Oryctolagus cuniculus: one gene and its partners. The protein of the gene in region 1 interacts with the protein of each later gene in a biochemical or structural test. Links are inferred from orthologs where the notes say so. Each region holds a gene or a part of one and is shown on either strand. Other genes may lie near its edges.

Evidence for each region.
Region 2: the proteins of MAGI2 (region 1) and RPS6KA1 interact in a test that uses a peptide from one of them, tested with the Homo sapiens proteins (2 studies listed by BioGRID and IntAct, with this or other methods). The link is inferred for Oryctolagus cuniculus from reciprocal best matches to the Homo sapiens genes MAGI2 and RPS6KA1.
Region 3: the proteins of MAGI2 (region 1) and ADRB1 interact in a test that uses a peptide from one of them, tested with the Homo sapiens proteins (4 studies listed by IntAct, with this or other methods). The link is inferred for Oryctolagus cuniculus from reciprocal best matches to the Homo sapiens genes MAGI2 and ADRB1.

Annotation. Positions count from the first base shown.
Region 1 is NC_091434.1:144,050,718-144,056,987, forward strand, and holds the start of MAGI2 (membrane-associated guanylate kinase, WW and PDZ domain-containing protein 2), read right to left. Parts: upstream 3,718-6,270; 5' UTR 3,243-3,717; coding exon 2,942-3,242; intron 926-2,941; exon of another isoform or gene 1-925. UniProt on the Homo sapiens protein: Seems to act as a scaffold molecule at synaptic junctions by assembling neurotransmitter receptors and cell adhesion proteins. Plays a role in nerve growth factor (NGF)-induced recruitment of RAPGEF2 to late endosomes and neurite outgrowth.
Region 2 is NC_091438.1:144,952,598-144,958,705, forward strand, and holds the start of RPS6KA1 (ribosomal protein S6 kinase alpha-1), read right to left. Parts: upstream 4,146-6,108; 5' UTR 4,093-4,145; coding exon 3,958-4,092; intron 3,227-3,957; coding exon 3,110-3,226; intron 2,880-3,109; coding exon 2,798-2,879; intron 1-2,797. UniProt on the Homo sapiens protein: Serine/threonine-protein kinase that acts downstream of ERK (MAPK1/ERK2 and MAPK3/ERK1) signaling and mediates mitogenic and stress-induced activation of the transcription factors CREB1, ETV1/ER81 and NR4A1/NUR77, regulates translation through RPS6 and EIF4B phosphorylation, and mediates cellular proliferation, survival, and differentiation by modulating mTOR signaling and repressing pro-apoptotic function of BAD and DAPK1.
Region 3 is NC_091446.1:16,245,220-16,251,501, forward strand, and holds ADRB1 (beta-1 adrenergic receptor), read right to left. Parts: upstream 4,183-6,282; 5' UTR 3,920-4,182; intron 3,844-3,919; 5' UTR 3,656-3,843; intron 3,232-3,655; 5' UTR 3,150-3,231; coding exon 1,584-3,149; 3' UTR 280-1,583; downstream 1-279. UniProt on the Homo sapiens protein: Beta-adrenergic receptors mediate the catecholamine-induced activation of adenylate cyclase through the action of G proteins. This receptor binds epinephrine and norepinephrine with approximately equal affinity.

The DNA of each region.
Region 1 (6,270 bases):
GCTGCATAACTTAATGAGGAAAGTTTAGTATGATAAATGAAAAGGCTAGAACTTATTAAAAATAATCTGATACGACAATAAATTATACTTTCCATTTATGGCTTATTGTGTCAACTAAAAGCACACAGTTCAAATTAAAAAGAAAATACTTTGAGTTTAATTAAATAGTAATTAAAATTGTTTTGAAAGTATTTAAACAGTGTAGAAAATCCACAATACATCTATTTTGTGTAGTACATCTTGAAAATCCTAGTAGTTTACCTTCTTTTAAAGGTGTGATAATTTAAAATTATGATAAATTTAATGGAAAATTACTCAAGTAAATAAAAGCTAAATAATGCAATTTCATCTGCTGCACTTTTTATTAATAAGCTTGTTATTAAAATCTTTCATTTCTTTACAAAACCTGCCAGGGTTCAGCTAATTTACATGTAGTTTCAGTATATAGCCAATGTCTCAATGAATATTAAAAAATCAATCTCATTAATATCTTAAAATACAACTGCTAAACAATCCACATTTCATTTTTTTCAACTGCTAGTTTTTTGGCTCTCCAGAAATGCAGTCACTGAGCCAAGAATTTTTAAATGATTTTCCAGCAAGTGAAATCTGTACCCAAACCCAAGACACTGTGGAACTATATTTATGGTTTTTAAAATTTAAAAATAAATAAAATAAAACCATTATTTGACAAAGAATGAATTCAACAAGGGAATGGTTTATATGAATCATCATATATACAGGATACATATATATACAGGATACATATATACATATGTATATACATATATATACAGCATACATATATATACAGGATACATCATATATACAGGATACATATATATACACAAAGCACTTATAAAAGTTTACAAAAGTATTACATATTCCACTAAAGATGAAAAAGCAGGTTTTTGTGGGTTTTTTTTTGTCAATAGTGATTCAAGGGGTGAATCAGGTTCCCGTGGAGTCTCTGTGAACATAATTTCAAGAACCTATCACCAATTAACCAGTGAAACCTGGAACTGAGCGGTAACACAGAACGTAAAGATTTTCACTTAAATATATTACTACCTACGTATGTATTTCCTGAGTTATAGAAGTAATAGTATTCCAAATAAAATACAGAAGTTGAGAGAGTATCTTAGGCCAAATCATGGAGGATTTTAATGCTATCTAGCTCATGTGCCCATAAACGGTCATTTTGGCAACCGCAATAATGGGAGCCTCAACTTACGGTACTGCTCAGATTTCTGGAAGGTCCTAACAGAAAACGGATCCTTTAATGAATGCAAAGATAAAGATGCTCCATCTTTTAAATGTTTCCCTGTTTTCGTCTTAGTTTTGTCCTGGGAACTATTACAGGATAGCCAGAATTTCCTTTCTTACCTGGTATCTTTCCAATATTTAATAACTGCTTTCATACCCTTATTTTTCCATGTTGTCTTTCCCCTGAATTTCATAGAATATATGATACCAAATAATTCCCTTATTTGCGTATTCTTCAGCGTCAGGCAGTCATCGTGATGACTTAAAATCAATGTTTCCCTTAGCCTCCGTTCTACTAATACTCAAGAATCCCCACTGTCATTGCCTTGTGGGGCAATTAACACTTCAGAAACTTTGCCGGACTTCTTTTTCTCTTGTTTACCTTTAAACAAGTGTTTTTGCAGAACCCTTTTCTAGCTAGGAACATCCCCTTAATAGTGTTTCTCTGTAGTTGATCATGCCAGGGGATTAAATGGTCGTTGAAAACGCAGGCAATAGCAGGCTTGATTCCACCTCTGAGGGTCAAACAACATCAGGTGGACAGCCACCCTCCAGACTGACACGAGAGCGCTCCCCTACACACACACACACGCTGCCCTGGAAACGTCCACTGAAGCTGGGAAAAAGTGTGCAACCGCGCGAGGAAAACAGAGATCCACTTTATTCTAGCTCAAACTGCCCTCCAGCCAAACTTGCATCGCAGTCTTTCCTCCCTCAGGACCACAATTTTCTTGCGAGACACGAGAGAGTTACTGAACAGAGTTCTGCAAGCATCCACACACGACACAGCCTTCCGCGGAAGCCCATCAGAGTCAGCCTGGAGCTGAAGGCGCCCGAGCTGCAACCAGCGGCATCCCCATCCCACTGCTCCCCCTCAGAAACACGCCCCCTCCAATCCCGCGGGCAGGGGACTCCCACCCCGCCAGGGCAGCCCCCAGCACGGCGCGCTCCAGGCAGCAGCCCCGCGCTCGCCCGGGGCTCCCCGAGCGGCGCCCGCTTCCGGAGCCTCCTCCCGGCGGCCGCCTGCCGGCCGAGGGTGCGCGGTGGGGTTAGTCAGTGCGCACGTGACGCGCGCGGTGCCCACATGACGCCACCGGGGCGGGGGAGGGGGCCCGGAGGGTGAGGCAGGGAAAAAGTTACAGAAGATCCGTCAAAGCGCCCCAAGCCATGCGTCCCTTCCCTGCATCGCCAGCCAGTGGCACGGGGATCCCCCGGGGGACAGTGGTAGGGGGAGACCTCGGCGTCTCCAGGCCCGCGCGCCCCACCGCCCTCTGCTCCTCAGAGCCCCGCTGGGGATGCCGCTGCACCCTCCAGTTGCCTCTTCCTCTTTGCCCCTCTCCTTCCCTCCTCCTCCTCCTCCTCTCCTTCCTTTCTCCCATCCCCAGATCTCTTCATCCACTGCGGGCGATGCCACTGACGCACATTCAATTGGCCTCAGGAGGTCAGACCAGGCCAGGCACCTTCTGCAGCCGGGGGTCTCAGTACCCAAACAAAGTTGCACTTCACCTCGCAAGCCGCACTAACCCCTCCGCGCAGCCTCCCGGAGGACCTCGGCGGACCCCACCCCAGCGGCGCGCCACACACCCCCTTCCTAGGCGCGCCCACCCTGCCCTTCGCCCCGCCGCCCCCCAGCCGTCCCGCCGGCGGCGCGGCACGAGCCGGCCGCGGCGCTCACCTTGCTTGACACACTTGAGCCGGAGGGGGTCCTTGCAGTGCTTGATCACGGCCAGCACGTCCCTGATGGTGAGCCCCGCCACGGGGGTCTCGTTCACCTCCAGCAGCAGCTCCTCCGACACCAGCTTGCTGCCGCTCTCATAGGCCACCTTGCCGGGCTTCACCTCGCCCAGGTAGGGAAACTGTCCGTTCTCGGCGCCCCCCTTCAGCTCGAAGCCCAGCTGGCCCTCCGGGTTCCTGCCAATGACACTCTCGTGGACTTTGCTAGTCCAGTGGCTTTTCTTTTTCAAGCTTTTGGACATGGCAATGGGCTGGGTCGCCTCAGTTCCAGGGGCTAAGGGGCTCCTTTGGAGGGTTGAGGAGAGGGGCTGATAGGGGCGCGAACAGGGATGGAGGCACGGGAGGGTGGGGGGGGCACGGGGGTGAGGAGAGCAGACTTCGCCTTCCTCCCAGCTCCGCTCGGCGCTTTGCCTCTTCTTGGGATGGAGTGTGGACGAGAAACGGGGGGGAGGATGAGAGAGGGACGGCGGGGCAGAGGTGGGAGAGCGAGGGTGAGGTGGTGCTGTCCCTTGAATGACACTCAAGGCTGTGGCCCCGCAGCAGAGGAAGCTGTGGCGGCGGCGGCGGCGGCGGCGGCCGGAGCAAACCGAGCGGCGCTGGGAGCCGGCGCGTGGGGGTGGGGCAGAAGGGTCGGGAGCCGGGGGCCACTCCTGCGTGGTGCGCGGGGCGCGCGCGCCGGCTGTGTTGTTAGCGGATATCCATGGCAGCCGCGGCGGCGGGGCCCGCGCGGGAGCGCGCGTGTGTGTGCGCGCGCGCGCGTGTGCGTGTGCTTGTGTGTGTTGTACTGTAAGGGCTGAGGGGAGACGGCAGCAAGGCCCAGGAGGAGGGGCGCTTCGCCGCTGTCGCGCTCGCTCGCTCCCTCCCTCGGCAGCTTGACCCGGTAGTGAAGGCCGAGAGAGGGAGAGAGAGAGAGAGTCTGGGTCTCCCTGGCAGCCTGCGGGAGGAGGCGGGAGCCGGGAAGGAGGGGAGCCGAGGCCCGCTAGGAGGAGGCCGGCGCGGACCTAGCTCGGGGCTCTGTGGCAGCCCCCGGGCCGCGCTCGGCCGCCGCTGAGAGAGCTCGCGGACCCGCGCGGCCGACGCGTCCGTGAGGAAGTGCCGGGACGCGGCTCGTGGTGGCCGAGGAGAGGGGAAGGAAGGCCTGGGAGCTCCGCGCTGCTAATCTGGGACTCTTGGACTCTGGGCTTTCACAGCCACATAGTCCGTCGCGGAGCCCGAGCAGGGCAGAATCAGGGAGACGGCGGCTGCTGGGCCGGACCTGCGGGCGCAAGGCGAAGCAGCTTCACGTCCCCAGGGCAGCGTTTAGGCGCGGGGGCCGGGCTTGTCCGCTGAAACGCGGTGCTGGGGACCCCAGGGTTACAAGGGCTTGACTTTCCCGCTTAGCAGCGACGGAAAGCGAGGGGCTGCTGGGCTGGTGCTGCAGGAGTGGAAAGGTGAATCTGGGACCTGCGGCGCAGGGTGGGTAAGGACATACCAGTAGGACTGGTACTTGGGCAGAAACCTTAAGATGACCTGGCCCGAGAAGCCAATGCTACCGAGAAAGGAGAGCAAGCGCCGAGGCGGGGCTAGTAGTGGCAGAATCAGGGCGAGCCCTGGGCTGGTTGGGCTCCATCCGGAGCTCTCCTTGCCTTGAAGTTTGCAGCCAAGAGGAGAGGTGAGGGCCAGGGGGGCCCCAGGATGCAGGTGCGCTGCTGATGTTCGTGTGCGCCCTCATTTCGCGCTAGACATTAGGAGGATCTTTTTTCTTAATTCCTGTAACTGGTAAATGAATTTCAATTTGCTTAACTTTCAAATGAGATGTTTCAGACACACACAAAAGTCGCACACCCACTCATGTCTTTAAAGCAGAGTCTGAAAAGCATTGGGCTGTGAAGGTTCTTGATGTCTGAGATGAAGGAAATGTGGGAGGCAGGCAGTTCAATTTCAAAAATAAAAAAAGGTTCTGTCGACCCAAACAGAAAGACCAGGTTTGAATCCCTCCTCTGCTACTTAGTAGAAGTGTGAACTTAACTAAACCAATTGACCTTTCTAAGCCTCCGTTTCTTTTATTTGGTAAATCAGGTTAAAAATACTAATCTGAGAAGGGTGTGTTGAGGTGAAGTCAGGTAAAACATGCACGGTGCTTGCCAGCAAAGGTGGGCAGGGTTCAGAATAGAAATTTCCTTTCTCTTTCCCTCTTGAGTGGTTAGAACTAGAAAACATCTTTTAAAAAAGAGGTTTTGTTTAACCTATGTCTTTTTTTTTTCCAATATAAGCAAACACATCCCCAGTGAGTTGGCTACAACCAGTGAGGATTGATCAGCAAGACAGGGGTGATGCCAGGATCTGAAGCAGAGCTGCAGGAGTACTCAGAAGTAGGTTGTGGTATTTGGGCAGTTGATTTTAGCATTATGAGGCTTGCTCTTCAACTGGTAATAAGAACTGAGAATTTGTTTAGCAACAGTTACCAGCTACCATGCATGTTTGAGTAATGCATGTATTTATCGAGTTCTACCTGTGCCAGGTGTTCTCACAGTTTTACATGTACTAACTTATTCCTATTAATACCTTAGTGAAATAGATACTGTGATCATCCCCTTTTACAGACAGGGAAATTGAGGTTTACAGAATGAAACTTTTGTGAGGCAACAAGCATAGTTCATGATGAAACTAATACCTATTCAGACCCACTGCATTGAACTCTGTCCTGCATTTACCAAATCTACCAGTTCTGAATACAACTGAGGGTTGGGTCTGCTCTTTTGTGTGGCAATTAAGAAAGAAAGGGAAGAAAATGGAGCAGAAATTTAGCATTAAAATCATGCTGACTCTCCAGAACCCAGGAAAGACATTGACCTGTGCCAATAAATTTAGGCTCCTCTGCCTCAAATCCACTTTTTGCTTCAAATTAGAGCTGGTATATGTAAACATTTCTTTGTTGTCAGCAGAGTATTAGATTTCTTGATGGAATGTGCTCGAGAGGCCCGGCAAATGGAAGTTCTCCTGATTCCAGCGCTTTACTGCTTGCAACTCTGCTGTGGTGGTCAGTCAGTGGCTTTTTGGCCAATGGTGTGCAAGAGACCCATGTTTCATACCCTCCAGAAAATTTGGCAGTTTTCCCAGTGTGTGGCTTCCTCATGAGTCTCACTGGCCTGTCAGTAGGCAGCTTCTTAGCAAATTTTACTGGCAATACGGTGGTGCTTTGCTCAGCAGCCTGGAGTGTGACACCTTCACAGATGTCTTGACATCAAGGGAGCCACATTGCCAGTGAAGTCTGACTCTCAGGCTTGGGAA
Region 2 (6,108 bases), on another chromosome or scaffold:
AGAGCTCGGGCCCATCTGAAGCCAGGAGCTTCTTCGGAGTCTCTCATGTGGGTGCAGGGTCCCAGGCACTTGAACCACCTTTACTGCTTTCCCAGGCCATTAGCAGGGAGTTGGATCAGAAGTGGAGTAGCCGGGACTCGAACTGGTGCCCAAATGGGATGCCAGCATCATAGGTGGAGGCTTCACCCGCTACGCCGCAGCGCCAGCCCCTTTCTTATTTTTTTAAAGAATAGAAGTTGCAGGGCTGGCGCTGTGGCGTAGAGGGTGAAGCCACCGCCTGTGACACTGGCATCCCTGAGTGCCGCTGGTTCAAGTCCCATTTGTTCCACTTCTGATCCAGCTCCCTGCTAATGCACCTGGGAAAGCAGCAGAAGATGGAGATGGCCCAAGTCCTTGGGTCCTTGCACCCACATGGGGACCCAGAAGAAGCTCCTGGCTCTGGCTTCAGCCAGGCCCAGCCCTGGGCCGTTGCGGCCATTTGGGAAGTGAACCAGCAGATAGAAGATCTCCCTCTCTCCTTCTCTCCCTGTAACTCTGCCTTTCAAATTTAAAAAAAAAAAAAAAAAATATTTAAATATTGGGGCCGGCACTGTGGTGCAGCAGGTTAAAGCCCCAGCCTGCAGCACTGGCATCTCATATGGGAGCCGGTTCAAGTCCCGGCTGCTTCACTTCCAATCCAGCTCTCTGCTATGGCCTGGGAAAGCAGCAGAAGATGGCCCAAACCCTTGGGCCCTTGCACCCATGTGGGAGACCTGGATGAAGCTCCTAGCTCCTGGCTTCAGATTGGCTCAGCTCTGGCCATTGCAGGCATTTGGGGAGTGAACTAGTGGACGGAAGACCTGTGTGTGTGTGTGTGTGTGTGTGTGTGTGTGTCTTTACCTCTCTCTGTAACTTTCAAATAAATAAACCTTTACCAAAAATATCTTGATTCAGACATCAGCTGGTCTTCCTGCCCTCAGTCAGGTCTCACCTCCCCCTTAGCCTCCCAAGCTGGACGAGGGCCTTCCAGCTACTTCTGACCAGGACTAATGTCACTTCAGGCTAACTTCAGACTAAGAGTGCTGGACTTCCTCTTCAAAGCACTGGCTTTTGTTCATTTGCATTAGTTAAGAGAGAGAAAGAGAGAGCATGAGAGAGTGAGAGAGTGAGAGACAGAGAGAGAGAGGGACTGCACTCTCATCTGCTGGTTCACTCCCCAGTGTCCACAATGGCCAGGGGATGAAGAACTCACTTAAGATCTACCATGTGAGTGGCAGGGACCCCACTATTTGAGCCATGACCTGCTGCCTCGCGGGGTCTGCCTTAGCAGGAGCTGAGTAATGAACCAAGAACTGCTACAGGGGGTGTGGCCTCCTATCCACCAGGCCTCACGCCCACTCCCTCAGAACACGTTTTATCTTCTAGTTTAACGTAAAATTTTTAAATGTATGCTTTAACTATTTGAAAGGCAGAAAGACAAAGACAGAGACTGATCATCCATCCGCTTGTTCACTCTCCAAATGACCACAACAGCCAAGGTTGGAACTGGCCAAAACCTTGAGCCAAGAACTCTATCCAGGTCTCACTCATGGGTGCCAGGGACCCTAGTACCGGAGCCATCCCCTGCTGCCTCCCAGGTGTGCATCAGCAGGAAGTCAGGATCAGAAGCAGAGCGGGACTGGAACTCGGGCATTCCGAGGGGGTCCCAAGTGTCCCAGGCAGCATCCTAAATCCTGGCCCCGTCGATTTTAATTTCTGTACTTCCCTCACTGGGTACAGCAGGGACCACACTGCCGTTAACTCTGGTCACCATTTCCTGAACGCACCTTGTCCCAAACCCCTCTCCAGTTCCTCCTTCCTCCATCACTTTTCGGCTGGAACATTCCTAATTCATCCCTCACGGCACAGCTTGCACGGCTACGGCTTAGGTGTCCCCCTGACCTCTGGACCTGCCCTCTAGGAGATCTGGGGACGGGGAATCAGCACTTCTGCAAACTGTCTCATTTTTATCCGGTTAGCAGACAGACGTGTACAAGGCCCCTGCTGCACCCTGACCCCGAGCTCCTGGACATCCATGCCCACCCGTCACAGTAGCAGCTGCACCTGTGTCCGGCCCCTCCCACTCAGCCCGAAAGCCCTGCTCAGCATCCCTCCTGGGAGACGACTCCCACACGAGCTGGCTGGCCTTGGGGCACCACAGCCACCATCATCAGCCCCACAGAGAGCCCTTAAAGGCCCAGAACATTCTGAAGGGTGATACTGCCTGTGCGTCCCACAGCACCCCCAACCACTGCTTGGCTCTGACCCCACCTGGTCAGTGGCTACACAGCCAATGTTCGATCCAAAGTTCCACTACTGACCACTGTCACAAGTCCCCGGGACCCCAGAGGGCTCAGGGCTCCCTCCTGAGCCTCTGCCACCCACCTCTGGGCCTCGCCTCCATCGCCCTCTCTTATCTACCCAGCCACTCCGCTGGGCTCCCTCGCGCCCTTCCCCACCCTGAGCTAGGAGGCCGGACAGGGCTCCCTCAGACTCCAGCAGCATAGTGAAGCAACTCGGCTGACAGTGCACCTCTGTCTATCCAGCGTGATGCTTGAGGACCTCCCCACCCCCAAACACCCTGTACTCGGCTCACTGCCTCCTTCCAGACGCTTACCGTCAGCCACAGTCACTGGCACTTGTCTGGGGTGGGGCGGGGGAGAGGCAGCCGGTAGTGGACCTGTTTCTCCACCTCCCCAGCAGGTGCACCTGAAGATGGTGCTCCCCCACCCACCGTGAGACCCAGCCTGGGTTCTGCCCAGGGCCGCCCCTCACTCACCTTTCAATGTCGCCTTCTTCAGCACCTTCATGGCATACAGGTGCCCACTGTCAGGCCGGGTGACCTTGCGCACCAGGAAGACCTGAGAAGGAACAGGGGGAGAAGCTGGGGAGGGCCCTTGGCCTGTGGGTCCCCATCCTCCAGGCCCCAGGTTGATCCGAGCTTCCCAGAGCTCCAGGATGACCTTTTGCTCTCCCTGGCTACCAAGGTAACCTCCCACCCTTATCCTCCATCCTCGGGGTCGCAGGGTGGCTCGGGCCCCACCTCTGACATGACCAAGGCTGCCCTCCCGGCTGTGGGCTCACAACTCACTTTGCCAAAGGATCCCTGTCCCAAAACCTTGAGGAGCTCGAAGTGGGACGGGTCGGCCTTCTCGGAGCCAGCCTTGACGTGGTGCGTGATGGAGATCTCCTTGAGGACGCCCTCATCCTGGAGGAGACACAGAGCCGGTGGGCATGGTGGCCCCATCCACGTCCACTCCCCCCAGACCTCGGCAGGCCGAACACACAGCTCTCCGACGGTGCCAGCCTTCAGGCTCATCAATACCAAAGCATCTCAAAGGCAGGGCAAGTACCGGCCCGGTGAGGCACTGCTCCTAAGGCTCCTGCTGCTCTGACCTGGTCAGCCCAAAATGACGCGGCTGGCCAGGCTGAACCAACCCCAGGCTCTGGCTGAGGCCCAGAGACCTGCCCCAGGCCTGCCTGCCGGGGCTAGCCTCCCCCTGCTGTTTTGGTTTGGCCACAATAGGAAATAAGCTTTGTTCTGCTAACCAGGAGGTAGAGACGGGCCTTTGCTCCCAGTCAGGATGGGATGAGGGGACTGCTACTGGGACATCCCCATCAACCCAGTCTACAGCATGAGGGAGTTAAGGCCAGCAGCTCCGCACCCCACCTGCACAAATCCCCACCACACCAAGCTATCAGCAGCCCCTTGCCACGGCATAGCTGTTCTAGGCCCTTCTCCCCTCCCTCTAATGTGCCGGTATTACCCTGGAGCCCAGAAGGGGCCTCTCTACTTCCCCCGGAAGCAGGCCTGGAGAGTGTCTGGTGACCCGGCAGGGCCAGGTCTGGGCCAGGAAATCCCGAAGCCACCTTAGGCCAGCCTGGCTGCCTTTTTCAAGGACGACAGCTGGGCCGGGACCAGATGCTGGGCACACTCACCGAGTCCTGCTGGGGGCCAGAGCCAGGGCCAGGAGCAGGTAGCGAGGTCTGGCCGACCCTCGGCCGCTGCTTCCTGGGCAGCCAGGGGAGCAGGGCCCAGAGCCGCAGACGGGGCGGCTTGGGATCCTGCTCCATCCGCCCAGCAGGGCCACGGCACCATGGCAGGAGTAGGCAGTGTCTGGGGCTGCCACAGAGGTGGCCAGGCCCAGGCGGATGTGCAGGGTAAGGGCGTGGGGGCTGGGCCCAGCCCAGGGCAGCCAATCACTCGGGGCCTGTGGTTTCCCAGCTACAGGCCTACACCCTCAACCACCTTCCCTTCTTCTCTCTTCCCGCCTCTCCGGTGCCTGAGGGCTGCCCTCTGGCCCTGCCCCCATACTCCCCTGTGGGCCTGCAAAGGCAAAGCCCAGAGCCAACCCGTCTGCTGAGCAGATAGGTGCCCACCAGAGGCATGGGCCTGCCATGCAGCAGCAGATAAAAAGAGACATACGCCAGGCAGAGGCAGGCACCCAAGAGGTGGAGACAGATAAAGATGGGCGTCCAACAGGCAGAGACATAGAAGGACACGTACCCAACAGGCAGAGACAAGAGGGAACACACCCGCAGCAGGCAGAGACAGACAGGGATGGGGACCCGACAGGCAGAGGCAGGAGCAACAGGCAGAAGTGGACCAAGACCCAACATGCAGAGGTGGATGGGATCAGAACTCCACAGGCAGAGGCAGATGGGGACAGGAACCCAACAGGTAGAAACAGAAGCCATGTGGATCCATCAGGCAGACAGATGGGAATACCAACCCAACAGCCAGAGAGAGAAGGGCACACGAGCCCGACAAGCACCCGGCATGTGGCGTGCACCCAGCGGCAGCAGGCAAGCACTCCTCGCGGGGACAGAAAGTGAGCAGCAGAGAGAGACAGCCAGCTAGGGAGCCAGGGAGGGCCCGGCAGACAGACAGACACCAGGGCAGAGGGGGGCTGGCACCCACAGTGAGAGACACTTGGGCAGGCAACAGGGCAGGGATCCTCAGGAAAGGGTTAAGTGCAGAGCTGTGGCTTCTTGCTGGTGCACCTGGGGGCGAGGAGAGAGACGGAGGGGACATAGCCTGAAGCCCCCGGCACAGCACTCAGGAGGACAGCTCAGCACTCGGGCAGGTCCGTCTCGGAGGTCTTCTGTCGCCCTAGAATGTTCTTCCCATAGGGCCTGAGAGGGCCCCAGGACCAAGGGAGTGGCTGAGGGAGCCTCTGTCCTCCTGAGTGAGACTGATGGCTTTGACTCGGATCCAAAAACCCCAAAAGCTCTGCTCTCCATTCTGGGAACAAGAAACTGAGGCCCAGAGGAGAGTGACTCCCTCAAGCTCAAAGCAAACCAGCGGCAAAGCCAACTTGAACTCGGGTCCCTCCCCTGGTTACTGCCTGACCCGGGGTCAGGAAAGGGTGGGCAGGTAAGTCAGCCAGAGCCACTTCCTGTCCAGCCCAGCCCGCCCCCTCCTCGGCCCTGGGGTCCGTGGGGACTGCCCACCCCAGGTCCTGGCCCTCTCTTTAGGAGGTCCTCCCTGACAGAGGGGACAGTGGGTGTAACAGCCCCACCAAAAGCTGCCCCTGAGCGTGACATCCTGATGGGACAGCGGAAGCCCTGGCTCAGAGAGGGGCTGAGGTGGGTCAAGGCCTCGCGGCTTCCCTGGCCACCCCACCCTGAGATCCACGCCTCCGCTTTACCCGCCCGCCTCCGACTCAACAACACTCCCTGGGGACAGAGGCAGTCACCCGGAAACCCCAGGGGACACAGCCACCGCACACCCACTCCTCGCCCACAGTCGCGCGGCAGGCGCTGCTAGAGACAAGCCACCTTGGCTCACCTTTCCGGGAGAGGGGAGCGAGTCTCTCTGAGCCCCGGGGCAGTCTGCCGGGGTCTGCATGGTGAGGCTCCGGCAGCGGCCAGAGGCCCTGGTGCTGCTTACTTCTGCTTTTCGTAGCCTTCCTCACCCAGAAGGCAGGGTCCCCGGGCCCCCTCCTTCTCACTTCCCTCTCGGCAGGGAGGACGGACAGAAGTCGGGTCAGGCTCCCATGCGGGGGTGGGGCTGGGGGGACGCTGCAGACCCCAAGCTGGCCAGTCCAGGGAGCACCCCTGGACACACCCCTCTGACTCTAAGAAGGG
Region 3 (6,282 bases), on another chromosome or scaffold:
TTTCAGAAGACACACAAGCCCGCAGCTGAGAGCAACAGATGGAATCTCGAAAGCACCTCCGAGTCGTCTGGGATACCTTGAATCCGACTGTGAAAATTGAGGGCAAATCTGCAGCTCTCAGTAGGTGAGCGCCTTATTTGGTCTAGAGGCATTTCGCTATGTTATTGAGTCATGAAAAGCTATTAAAAGAGCTCTATGAGAAATGCAGTCTCTATTTGGAAGGAGACAGACTGTCTTGTTCATTGTCACTGACCCCTTACAGACACACGGTACATAATCTTGATTGTGCTTCATTGGTATTTATTGCACATGGACCAATTCCTCACACAGTAGTTAGTTGCACTGGAGTATAAATACTTGGTCAAACACACAAGAGGAAGTAGAATTTACACACAAGGGCTAGATTTTACCAGCAGGTTTACGTGAGCACTTGGACATAAAAAAATAATTAAAAAATCCTTAAGATAATATTTATACTATGGATACAGTTACAGTACCATGATAAAAGAGTATAAAAAGGTATTTCCCCAATAAATCATTAGCTCAATAACATAATAGACAACAGAAGTAGAATTCGAATTTTATTCGAGTTTTTAAGCTCTCCCCCCCACCCCGTTAAAAAATATTTCATTTCTTTTTGTGCAAGTAACATCATCTGTGGACTTTATGATTCCTAACACTGTGCAAAAATGGCGTCTTGAACCACTTCTTTTTTATGTGTTTGTATCCACATGTGCAGTAATCTGAACTATTTCCTTTTCTCCCTCCCTTTTTCTTCTTTTTAAATTCTGCTTCTGTCCTGTCTTCAATGGACAGAGTCACATGTCACAACGCCTGGTCCTTCCCACGACTATTGATACATAAATAAGCTGTTTAATATAAACAAGTCTTCCTATCTTGCTGTGCGTTGTGCACAGTGTGAGGTAGACAGCCCTCAACCTGACCAGGGGGGCGCCCAGGGCTCGGGGCGCGGAGAAACGTGTTCCGAGCGCTGCTGAAAACATCCGAAAACCTGACTGTTAGGCATCCATCCTCTCCCTTCGCTTCAAGAAAGGAGAAATCACTACTCGGGAATGAGCACGAAATCCCTCTGGGAAGCAAAAGGAAACCGTCCTGACAAGCCGTCCTAGCCTCCCTCTCTGGTTGACTGCGCGAGTTCCCAGCAGCGGGATAGAAGCCAAGCGGGTATTTTCATCTCTTGCTGCTTCTTCCTTCCCCTCCCTCGACCCACCCCACCTGCACTCCAGTCCCCGTCGCAGAAAGTGTCAAAAACCACCTGGAAAGAAAGAAAGAAAGAAAAATTCCCCAGAGGCATCACACGCACGCACCCGAGGCCCAACCACAGACAGAAAACGCACGCAGAAAACTGGGCAAGCCACTCTCCCACCCGTTCCCCAAACATTCCTTCCTGGGCAAAGGCCCCACGGCCTTTCTGTCTGCCCTGGACAATGCGGTCACCCGCCGTTGGTAAACACCCATCTCCTCTCCCCTCCACCCGCACCCCGCGGTTCCCCGGCGAGCTCTCCTGCTCCTCCTCCCCGGGCGCAGGGCGCGCGTCCCGGACGCGGGGGGCGCGCCGGGCCCTACACCTTGGACTCGGAGTTGAAGCCCGGGCGGCACGGCTCGTCCAGGCTCGAGTCGCTGTCCGCCGTCGCCGCCGCCGCCGCCGCCGCCGCCCCACCATTGCAGCCTGCCCAGGGATCCAACAGGCGCGCGGGTGGCGTGGCCCCGACGTCGTCGTCCTCCTCGTCCGAGGCTGCCCCGGGCGACGGTGGCGGTCCGGCGCGCGCGAGGCAGCCCGAGGCGCGCGGCCGGGCGTGGGGGTTCGCATGGCACCCGCGGGCGGCCCGGCGCGCGCAGCAGAGCAGGCGCTGGAAGGCCTTGCGGAAGTCGGGGCTGCGGCAGTAGATGATGGGGTTGAAGGCCGAGTTGGCGTAGCCGAGCCAGTTGAAGAAGACGAAGAGGCGGTCGGGCACCAGGTCGCGGTGGAAGGCCTTCACCACGTTGGCCAGGAAGAACGGTAGCCAGCAGAGCGTGAACACGCCCATGATGATGCCCAGCGTCTTGAGCGCTTTCTGCTCGCGCAGGGCCACGAGGCGCGACGGCCGCCGCTTGCTGTGGCGCCCGTTGGCCAGCGCGGCCGCGGAGCCGGAGCCGGGGCTGGAGCCGGGGTCCGGGCGCGGGGGCCCTGGCTCGGGCGCGGGGCCGCTGAGGAAGCGGCGCTCACAGCTGTCGATCTTCTTCACCTGCTTCTGCGCCTCTCGGAACACCCGCAGGTACACGAAGGCCATGACGCACAGCGGCACGTAGAAGGAGACCACGGACGAGGCGATGGCGTACGCCCGGTTGGTGACAAAGTCGCAGCACTTGGGGTCGTTGTAGCAGCGGCGCGCCTCGTCGCCCTCGGCCCGCCACCAGTGCATGAGGATGGGCAGGAAGGACACGAGCGCCGAGATGGCCCACACGGTGCACACGAGGGCCCGCGCCCGCGCGCGCGTCAGCAGGCTCTGGTAGCGGAAGGGCGACGTGATGGCGAGGTAGCGGTCTAGGGCAATGACACACAGGGTCTCGATGCTGGCCGTCACACAGAGCACGTCCACCGAGGTCCAGAGCTCGCAGAAGAAGGAGCCATACTCCCAGCGGCCCCACACCACGATGGTGGCCCCGAAGGGCACCACCAGCAGCCCCATGACCAGGTCGGCGCTGGCCAGGGACATGATGAACAGGTTGGTGAGCGTCTGCAGCCGCGGTGTCTTCGCTATGGCCACGATCACCAGCACGTTGCCCGCCACGATGAGCAGCACCACGAGCGCCATAAGCAGGCCCATGCCAGCCGTCCACTGCTGCGACAGCAGCGCGGGGCCCTCGCTGGCGGGAGGCAACAGCGAGGCGGGCGGCGACGCGGGCACCAGCAGCCGCGCCGCCGTGGCCGCGCCGTCGGGCAGTGGCGCGGCGGACGACAGGTTGCAGGGCTCGGAGGCGCCCAGGGCGAGCGCCCCCGCGCTCATCCCGAGCTGCGGAGGCCGGGGGCGGGGGGTGTGGCGGAGCTGGGCCGTGGCTGGGGAGCCCTCCGAGAGGCCGTGCCGGCGGGGCGCGCTGTCGGAGGTCGCGGCCAGGTCAGGGCAGCTGCGGCGCGGAGCCCGAGGCATCGGCTCCGGGCGCCCTCCCCGCAGCCGCCGAGCGCTGTCGCCGCCGCCGCCGCCGCCGCTGCTGCTGGGGCCGCTGCCGCTGCTGGCAGAGCCGCCGGGACCTCAGCATGTTTCTGAGCGCGCGGGGCCCGCGGCCCCGGCACCCAGCACCCACCCCCCGTTCCCACCTCCCGAGCCGGCCCCCGGGGCCTGGCGTCAGGCTCCTGCAGCCAATCGGGGCGAGGGCACGCCCCCTTCTCTGCCTCCCCACTCCCTGCTACCCCGACTCCCCGCACCCCCTCCTACCGGCGATTGAGCGGCTCGGGGGAGTCGGGGCAGAGCGTCCAGCCAGCGCCTCTCGGGCGCCCGCGGGTTCCGCCGAGCGCTCCCTTTCCTGCGCCCGCCCGCTCCAGCGCCCCGTTCCCCTGCGCCGCCTAGGGCGCCCGGCTCCCGGCCGCGTCCCCGCCCCCTCCCGCGCTCGGCTCCCTCCCGCTGCCCCGCTCTGCCCACCCCCGCATCCCCTCTACCTCCGTTGTCCGGATTCCCCGCAGCACTGGGCGCCGGCTCCCTTAGGGGGCGGCGAACGTTGACATCCTCACGGCTCCTGGGCGCCTCGAGCGGTCTTGTCCGCCAGGGTTGGAGGAGATTGGTTCTTGGGTGTGTAGAGTCCTTCCTCCGCCAAGGGGGCACCGGGCCAACCTGCGTCGCGCCAGCCCTGCGAGATCGGAGGTGGGTGTTAGCAGGGAGAGGAAACTTGGCAGCACAGCGCGTTGCGGGAGCAAACCGCGCACCTGTCTCTGCGCGGGTGCGGCGCTTGCGAGGAAGCGTCTGTTGTACTTCGGGTGCAGGAGATGTAGCAGGGGCGAAGGCTGCTGCATCCAGCAGCCAACGCGGAGGCTGAGCTGGAAAAACACACACTTCCTAGCCCCTGCGCGTGATGCAACAGTGTGTGTCCACGCCGTGAGGGGAGAGGCTAGGGAAACACGCATGTTAACGCGCACGCAGACAGACCACCTCCACTGACGCTTTAGGCTTCCCACATTCAGTCACAACACCTGCATTTTGTGAGTTATTGCACGCAGGTTTTTATACTCAGGGCAGTGTGGATTGCAGACTCTGAGGCACTGACAGTTTTGGTTGAAGCAATGAACTGGGATTTTGGATTTTTTGGTCTGGGTGGCGGTTTGTTCCTTTACCCAAGTTCCCAGATTCTTGCAACTCTGGGGTTAGTTTTGAAGGGATGAGAGAGAGAGAGAAAAAAACCATAAATCCTCAAGGGGATTAAAACCCCAAAGCATTTAAAGTTATACCAGTGGTTTCTGAGTTGGCAAATGGGTTCATTTAAGGGTTAGAGGGTTGTTAACCTAGTTGTAGGTGGATTATATGGAGGAGAGGGGGAATGGTGGGGCCAGGAGCACACAGGGCAGAGGGAAGCAAGCCCTTTCTCTAATTTGGCCCTGGTAAGGAACTTAGCTCAGGCCTGAAAATAAACAAAAAACCTTTAATTAGATCCTTGTGAAGTAAACAGCTCCCGATCATCATGAACGTGTTATATAACGCTCACACATCTTTACGGCGTTAGAATAAAAAGAACAGCATCTAGAAAGAGCATCCACCACGGCCCAAAACCGTGCTCCTACCTTGCCAGAGAGAGGCGAACAAAAAGGAATGCTTGTTACGTGTGCAGACGTCAGACCGTTTGCACCAGCTTCTTGAGACTAGAGAAATGCAAACACATGAATTTGCTTTAGGCCTAAGCATGATCATCGAAGCATTCCTACAACCCGGGAGTGATTAATTTGTTTATTCACCCCTGCCCTGGACTCAGCCCAGTTTTGCCAACTTGGGGAGGTTGATGTGGGGGAGTCAGGAAGAGAGGAGCTGGAAAGAGGGAGGAAGGAGACCGGGCCCTTAGTGACTCCACTCCTTGCAAGTCCTCCCTTTGGCCCGGTGAGAGGGGGAGCTAAGGGGTGGTATTAAAATAGCCAAGGGATTGGGTGGAGTGGAAATTGATGCTGCCCAGGAAAGGGCTCTGAGTGCTGGGTGGGGTGCAGGGAGTGTGGGGAAAGCTGCTGTCTACCCGGCGCAATCCTCCTGCCAAGTGCTGCTACTGGAATAGAGTGTGTCAACCTCAAGTGCCCGCACAGGGCCAGGGCGCAGGGCGCAACACGGCGAGAAGGCCTGACTGTGGGTGCAGGGGCTGGCGCAGAAGCCGGGTGCAGGTGACTTCACTGTGTGGTTACTTGCACGAACGTCCTGGGCATCAGCATGGCCGGAAACCTCTCTCCTGGCTCTCTCCCCTACTCATTCAGAGACACCACAAATACGTACATGGAATTATAGACACCGAAAGCAAAGGGTATTCTAACAGGGGCTGCTTCGCAGGGATGCAAGTAAAGCAGGGTCCTGGGAATTCTCAGGGCTCTCTTTCACTTGGGGTTAGGATTAGGGTCCTGAGAAGAGTTTTGGAATAGTCGGTGTTCAACTAGAGTTAGCTTGCCCCTTGAATTCTACATTTCATGGTGCTTTATTTTTAAAAAGTGTTTTTTTTTTCAGCTAGCTTTTTGTACTTAGATAAGATCAAGAAGGGTTTCCAGGTATCAACTATTCTGCTAAACAGACTGAGATTAAGGATGTTATAAAAATAAGAGGTTTAGTTTGGCTCACGGCTCAGAGTTGAAGTTCGAGATCTGGTGGCCACATCTGGCGAGAATCTGGTGCTGTGTCGTACTGTGCTGATGGTATGGCGTGGGGTGAGTCCAAGTACTCACAGAAGAGCGAGCACAAGGGGGCGCCTTGCTCTGCGACAGCCCACTCAGCACAGCTAGCTCGCTCTCCAGGGAACTGCAGTCATCCTTTCAGGAGGGCAGAGCCCCCATGACCCCAACCCTAACCATCTCTTAGGGGGTCCACTGTCTCTCAACACCATTACATTGGCAATGAAACCTGAACCTGAGTTTTGGTGAGGGCTAATCATATTCAAACCATAGCTTCCACCTACACAGGTATTAGATGTTACAAGTGAATGAACAATCTTTGATTCCCTCACTCCCCGCTTGGCAACTGTGAGGAAGATCAGTTCTCTGGAACACATATGTTTGACATTACTTTCGAGAATAACAGAAAGTTCCCACAATGAATGCTCATCAGCGCC